2 linked regions of the Sus scrofa genome follow. The protein of the gene in region 2 interacts with the protein of the main gene of each other region in a pairwise test. Links are inferred from orthologs where the notes say so. Each region holds a gene or a part of one and is shown on either strand. Other genes may lie near its edges.

Region 1 (3,515 bases), on a different chromosome or scaffold from region 2:
TATTAAGCAACTCTGAACTGCAGACCTCTTAGATCTGCTGTGAGAATTTAAAGAGCTGCTATGTGCAAAGCACTTAGTTTAAGTACTACTGATTAGTTACTGTTATTATTGTTGTTGTTATTATTATTGGCAGGTGCCCCAGGCTGAGAACATAAACAAAACCGTGTGTGTGTGTGTGTGTGTGTGTGTAACTATGTATGTACATGTGTACGTATAATTTTATCACACTTAATCCTACTAAGAGCCCTATGATTTAAGTACTACTATCATCCCCATTTACAGATATAAAACTGAGGTTCCCTGATGGCATAGTGGTTAAGGATTCAGCATTGTCACTGCTGTGGCTCAGGTTTGATCCCTGGCTGAGAACTTCTGCATGTCACAGGTGTGGCCAAAAAAAGAAACAGAAAAAAACCTGAAGTTTAAAAAGGTAACTCACTTGTCAGAGCTACACATTAGCAAGTGGCTGCAATTTGAGCCTGGACAGTCTAAAGACAGGCTCCATGTTCTCGATCTCCATGCTTATTTAGTAAAAAGCTAAATACAATGGTGCAGCCTTGGCTGCACATCAGAATCATGTTGGGGATTTAAAAATGGGAATGCTGGAGTTCCCATTATGGCTCAGTGGTTAACGAGCCCAACTAGTATCCATGAGGACATGGGTTCGATCCCTGGCCTCACTCAGTGGGCTAAGGATCCGGCGTTGCTGTGAGCTGTGGTGCAGGTCACAGATGCAGCTCGGATCCTGTGTGGCCGTAGTTGTGGCTGTGACGTAGGCTGGCACCTATAGCTCCGATTTGTCCCATAGCCTGGGAGCCTCTATATGCCATAGGCGCGGCACTAAAAAGACAAAAGACGAAAAATAAATACATAAAATAAAAATGGGGGTACCTAGGCATCACTCCAAGACTTCAATGTAAGTAGCCTTGAAACCAGGCCCTCTTCCTCCCCATCCACTGCCCAGGTTTGTCAGACCTCTGCCTCTGCCCTCCTTGGTGTCCAGCCCACGAGCACGCCCCACCTTGGCACTCCATCCGCTATCCCAGCTGGCAGGGCTGGGGCTTCTCACCTGGGGCTTGATGTTCACCTTCTCCACTGCGTTCTCGTTCAGCCACTTGACATCGATCTCCACGTCAAAGTGTCCGATGTTACACACGATGGCGTCATCTTTCATCTGCTCAAAGTGCCTGTGGGGGAGCCCCAGCCAGTGGCAGGCTGTGAGGGACAAAGAGCAGTCCCAAGTGTGCCCCCTCCCTCACTCCCTGGACCCACCCCACCTGGCCCCTACCGGCCGAGGATGATGTCGATACAGCCCGTGGTGGTGACAAAGATGTTGCCCTCCTGACAGGCCTCATCCATGGTGGTCACCTCATAGCCTGTGTAGAGACAGTATCTGTGGGTCACCCAGAGTGGCTTCCCCCTCCTCTGGCCCCGTGGCTGACAGCCGACCCTCGCCCTATCATACCCTCCATGGCAGCCTGAAGTGCGTTGATGGGGTCGATCTCCGTGATGATGACGCGGGCCCCGAAACCCCTCAGGGCCTGGGCACAGCCCTTGCCTACGTCGCCATAGCCCGCTACCACTGCCACCTTGCCCGCAATCATCACGTCTGTGGCCCGCTTGATGCCATCTATGAGGGACTCCCGGCAGCCATAGAGGTTGTCAAACTTGCTCTGAAAGGAGAGGGGGCAAGGGGGCGATAGGGCAGGCAAGGCCCCAGGGCCTCAGACCCACTCTCAACATCTCAGCCTTGTGGGCCTTGGGCTGCTGATCACCTCCCAGGATTTCTCTGGGACCACCAGCTAATGTGTTCATATGCTCTTTGCCCTGTTCAGCCCCAAGACTTTCTCCCTAGCCCTTCTCTGCCAGTCCACGTTTCCTGAGGATCAACCACGAGGGACTGCCCAAAGAATCGGCTTCACTTTAAAGTTCTCGCTGCCCAGCTCTGAAGATCACTATGTAGTTCTTTGCCTCTTTAATGCACTTATTACCGTCCATCTACAACCCCTTCCCCCCTCAAATGAGGGCTAAGTCCCTAGCCTGCAGCCTTCCAAGGGGACTTTCTTCAGGGCTTATTCCTGAGCTGCACTGGGAACCAAGACTACAGCCATCACTGTCCCACAGGCTCACCTTGGTGACAGAGTCATTAACGTTGATGGCAGGCACCTTCAGGATCCCGTTGGCCTTCATCTTGTACAGGTTGTGGACTCCCGTTGTGGTCTCTTCAGAGATGCCTCGGATGCCTGAACAAGAGGGGACGGGGAGAACCTCAGGCCAGAAGGGGCTGCCCAAGGGATGGGGTGGCCTCTGGGATGAGACCCCAAGAGAGAGCCCACATCTCAACTCACCCCATTTCCTCATCTTTGCCTCCTAAAACCACTCTTTTTTTTTAGAGTCCTGTCTTCTGTTACCTGTAGCACAGTCTACTCATCACCTAGGCCAGCATGATGATGGAGGTGTCACCACCATCACCAGGCCTAATGATTCTACCTCCCAACAGCTCCCAAACCTTCCACTCCTGTTATCACTGCCCAAGTCCCTGCCATCATCATCACTTGCCTGGTCTCCCAGCCACAATCCATCCTCTACACAGCAGCCATTTTTTACATGTACATTTTCAGAGAAGTCTTTCAATACCATCCAGTTACTTCCCTTTGCTCTAAGGGTCAAGCCAAAACTCTTTTCTCTTAGTCTATTAAATCTTCACACACTTGATCTTCATTAATGCTCCAGCCACATCCTGTAATTCTCCCCAGTGAAGAAAGGTGCCATGCTAACTTTCTGTTGCCCAAAATGAACAGTCTCTCCTTTCCCGCCTCAGGGCCTTTGTATTCACTAATAGCATCCCCTACTTTCCTCCCCACCCAGCTTTTAACAAACAAAGCTGACTCCTCCCCTGACCTGGTGGTTTTTTTTTTCGTTTTTTTGTTTTTTCTTTATGGCCACACCTGCACTATGTGGAAGTTCCCAAGCCAGGGACTGAATCCAAGCCAAAGCTGAGCCAGACCACAGATCCAACCCTCGCCTCTGCAGGGACCCGAGCCACTGCAGTCAGATTCTTAACCCACTGCACCACAGTGGAAACTCCCCTGCCCTGGTCTTACACTTGCCCTTGGACCACAGCATCTCAGCCAGACCTCCCCTAGCCATCCCAGCTCACCTGCTATCCTCCTATCTTCCATGGAATCTGCTGCTCGAGGCACTGAGTGTCCTGCTGGGCCTGCTACTTTCTCGTGAGTAAGCAAGTCCCCATTTACACCACCAGCACCCAGCCCACCCACTGGGCCAACTCACCTGACAGGAGCTCTGGGTACTTGGTGTGGACGAGGTTGGTAAGGTCACCACCATCATCCAGGATCATGTTGAGGGGCCCATCCTTGAAGTACAGTGTCTGCTCAATGCACCACAGATACTCCTCGTCCGTTTCACCCTTCCAGGCATACACTGGAGAGTGAATGGCACATCAGGGTCTGGCCGTCCCCACTGGCACCTACTCCAGGGAACCACCTGGGTAG
Region 2 (4,127 bases):
CCTGGTGTGCACTATGTACTGTGTGAACGACTATCATAATAAACAAATAATAATGGTTTTTCTTAAACAGTAGCAAGAAAAATGCTTGCTGTGCAAACCCTGGGCTGCCCCCAAGGGAGGGAATTGAAAACTCCATGCCTAAATGTGTCACTTCCTATTTCGTCTCCTCTCTGATTTCAGTCCTTCCTCCTTTCCACCCCAGGTTTATTTCCTTAATCCTCCAGACCCCATCTGCAAGCTTCCATCCTGTGCCACATTGGAAGATCTCTCCCAGGCACCTGGGCTCAGCAAAGCCGTCCTTTTTTTTTCTCCTGCTGGGTAGTAAAGCAGTGCCAGCCCAGGCTCTGAGCCTCATTAAATTGATTAGGCAAAGAGTCAGGTAAAATGCTGTCTATACTTGCTCCGTGGCTCTGGCCAGCTCCGGATTATCAGGGAGGGGGATAACTCCAAAGCCTCTTTGGTGTTCTTCTTTTCTTTTTTTCCTTACATGGCTTTTGCGAAGGGTAATTAATTGTGATTACACGCAGTAATAAATTACAATGTATAGGCCTTGCGCACAATCTGTTTTTTTCCTGAAAGCCACGTTAGAAGAAATCTGTCTAAAATGAGATGTAAAACAACAGCAATTGAAATAATCGAAATAGGAGTTCCCGTCGTGGCGCAGTGGTTAGCGAATCCGACTAGGAATCATGAGGTTGCGGGTTCGATCCCTGGCCTTGCTTAGTGGGCCGATGATCCGGTGTTGTCGTGAGCTGTGGTGTAGGTTGCAGACGCGGCTCGGATCCCGAGTTGCTGTGGCTCTGGTGTAGGCCGGTGGCTACAGCTCTGATTCGACCCCTAGCCTGGGAACCTCCATATTCCGTGGGAGTGGCCCTAGAAAAGACAAAAAAAAAAAAAAAAAAAAAAGAAAGAATCGAAATAAAAGGTTCCAAGCACTGTCAAAGGAAGAAAAAACCGTGTAGTCTATTTCCGCAATAATGGGTGTATAATAGAAGGATCGGTTTCACCTCATTTTCCCATCCTGCTGGGCAAGAGTTGGCTCAGATAAGGAAAAAGAGCCAAACACACCAGTTATTTCTGATGCCCGGTAAACAGCCTGCGCCAGAGGAGAAGGCTTTCTGGCTCTCAAATAAGAGTTCTTCGCTTTACTTGTGTCTGTTCTCCTCCCTCCGAGCTGCGTGGTGGGGAGTTCTAAAAATAGTCGGTGAATCACCGCAGATAATACCGTGCAGCCGTTACATAAAGCGCCGGCCCGCGCGGGAGCCGGGGCCGAGGGTAGGAACGGAAAATATCTGGGTCACGGTTGTCACTCTGAATAAGTTCCCCCGGAGCCGGCCTGCGGGAGGCGCGGCCGGGAGGAGGCTTGGGCCCGCGGGCCGGGAACAGCAGGGGAACGGCGGGCGGCCCGCGGGAGGGAGCCGAGGCCCGGGTCGGGCGCGGGAGGCGGCGCGAGCGGGGCGGGCGAACTCCGCGCGGTCTCCCCATGGCGGGGAGCGGGCCGCCGCGGCGGCGACGCTGACCGGCCGGGGCGGGGCGGGGCGGGGGCCTGGGGCCGAGGGAAGATGAGCGCTCTGCTAGAGCAGAAGGAACAGCAGGAGAGGCTGCGGGAGGCCGCGGCCTTGGGGGACATTCGGGAGGTGCAGAAACTGGTGGAGAGCGGGGTGGATGTGAACTCCCAAAATGAGGTCAACGGCTGGTAAGTGGGGAGCGGGGGAGGCCTAGGGTCAGCGCTGACAGCCCGGGACGCGACCTCGGCCTAGCGCTGCCCCAGACGCCCGCTTAGGCGTGGCCGGGCGCTCCGGGCCTCCGAGGCTGTGCGCCCTGGAGGCCAGCCCTGGTCCCCCTGCTTCGGGTAGTCTTCGGCGCGTCGTGCCCAAGTCCCGGCCCACGTGGTCCTGCCCCGGCAGCGCCCACCCGAACCCTGGCGCCCCGCCGTTCCCCCCCCCACCCCCTGCCCCAAAACGTGGCTGGAACGGCGCTGGCTGCGAATTCTCACCCTAAGATGGAGCTCACCCCAGTTTGAATCCTCAATTTTCCTGAAGAACACATCTGTGCAGAGCAAAAAGCATAAAACAACTGAGCATATATGAATCTTATAAACTAACAATTTCTTTTCCCAAGACTAGGGAAAAAAAATCACTTGTATTCTTCGTGGGCTTCCCCTCTCACTACAGCAGTGATTTGCTGCTACCTCCAGCTGCCTGTTGCAGGAAGACTCATTCATTTATTCTATAGAGTGTTTTGTTTTGTTTTCTTAACAACAGTTTCAAATATGAGACTTTATCCAAGACTTTAGATGCCTGCCTGCCATGGAGTTCTTCCCAACTAATAAGAAGTCTCAGTTTAAGATGTGCTGGTGGTGAAATGTTTAGTATTAAGTTACAGAATGTGGTATTATTCTGCTCTCTTAACATCTAAATTTTAATTTTTTTACTTGGTCCAGGTAATGCTTAACCAGCCTATTTTGCTAGCTGAGAGTTAAAGTGAGTTTGCAAATGTTATTTACCTATCTGTCTATCTATTTATTTCTGGCTGCCCCTGCAGCATTAGGAAGTTCCCAGGGCAGAGATGGAACTGCGCCACAGCAGTAACCAGAGCAGTGACAACATCAGGTCCTTAACCTGATGAACCACCAGGGAACTCCACAAATGTTTTATTTTTTAAAGGGGAATCATACATTTTAAGACCAAAAGGGACGTGGGAGATGGGTTCAACCCCAGAGAATAACTTGCCCTAGGTCACACAACAATTTTAATAAAATAGCCAGGACCAGAATCACCATTTCCTAACTTCCTCACAAAGCCTACCTAACCTCCCTCCCTACCCTAAAGAAAATAGCCTGGGTGTCTGTCCGGAAAGCCAGGAGACAGTAGAAACTGCCTTTTTGTTTTGTTTAAAAGTGTTTGCAAACTAGCTTGCTTTTCTGTGTGTGCCATTTCTAGCATTGCTCTGTGGTTCATGAGCTGTCTTCATTGTTTTGGCACTGGGAGGCAGTGTTGTGTAGAAGAACGAGCCTGCTTTCCTGCAGGATCTTCTCCATTCCTGCTTAACAATACAATCTTGCTCACATCACTTAATTTTCCAGTTACTTCAGAAGAGTATTGTCAACATTTAAGAAGATGAGGCAAGACATACCTAGCTAACATTTATTGGGCTTGCCCTGTAGCACAAAGATTCCACGTGCTTTATTTCATTCACATCTACTCAAGGATATAGCTATTGTTATTCTCTCCAATTTGCAAATGAGGAAACTGAGGCTCAGAAAGATTAAGTCATTTCCCCAAGGTCACAGAATTCATAGTAACTAATGGAGCTGGGAAACAAATCCAGAATCTGACTCCAACCACCCTCCTTTATTTGACTGCACCTGCCACGGTAGGTGGAATTTCCTGAGCCAGGAATTGAACATACACCACAGCTGTAACCAGAGCCACAGCAGTGACAACGCCAGATACTTAACCTGCTGAGCCACCAGGGAACAACAAACCCTGCTTTCGTTTTTTTTTAGGGCTGAAACCTTCGGCCTATGGAGGTTCCCAGGCTAGGGGTCAAATCAGAGCTGTAGCGGCCAGCCTACGCCACAGCCACAGTAATGCCAGATCCGAGCAGTGTCTGTGACCTACACCACAGCTCCCGGCAACGCCGGATCCTTAGCCCACTGAGCGAGGCCAGGGATCGAATCCGCAACCTCATGGTTCCTAGTCGGATTCATTTCCACTGCGCCACAGCAGGAACTCCCTGGCTTTCATAGATTTAATTGAGGAAGATGTCTAATAGGACTTCAAATTCAACATGTCCAAGGTTCAGTTCCTGGTCTCCCTCATACCCCTAACTGCCCCCAGCCTGCTCCTGAGTTCTCCTCTCAGCATCTGAGTGCACAGGCCAGAACTTTTAGTGCCTCCTGTCTTTCCCTCACATCCCACATTCAATCAAGCTGCTAATACCGCCAGCTCCACCTTCAGGATATAGTTGGAGTCTGACTGCTTCTCACTAACTCCACCACTACACCTCTGGTGCAAAGCCACCATGGTTCTGTCACTTGGATTAAGGCAGTAGCCTCCTAACTAGACTCCTTGCTTCTACCCTTCTATCCTATATCTTTTCTTAACACAGCAGCCAGGAGGATC

What was found.
Region 1: the proteins of ANKRD40 (region 2) and AHCY interact in binary tests that used the Homo sapiens proteins (3 or more experiments, as listed by UniProt). The two-hybrid records come from large-scale screens. The link is inferred for Sus scrofa from reciprocal best matches to the Homo sapiens genes ANKRD40 and AHCY.

What each region holds. Positions count from the first base shown.
Region 1 is NC_010459.5:37,730,879-37,734,393, forward strand, and holds part of AHCY (adenosylhomocysteinase), read right to left. Parts: intron 3,445-3,515; coding exon 3,295-3,444; intron 2,244-3,294; coding exon 2,131-2,243; intron 1,674-2,130; coding exon 1,466-1,673; intron 1,377-1,465; coding exon 1,289-1,376; intron 1,188-1,288; coding exon 1,070-1,187; intron 1-1,069. UniProt on the Homo sapiens protein: Catalyzes the hydrolysis of S-adenosyl-L-homocysteine to form adenosine and homocysteine. Binds copper ions.
Region 2 is NC_010454.4:26,992,957-26,997,083, reverse strand, and holds the start of ANKRD40 (ankyrin repeat domain-containing protein 40), read left to right. Parts: upstream 1-1,323; 5' UTR 1,324-1,562; coding exon 1,563-1,696; intron 1,697-4,127.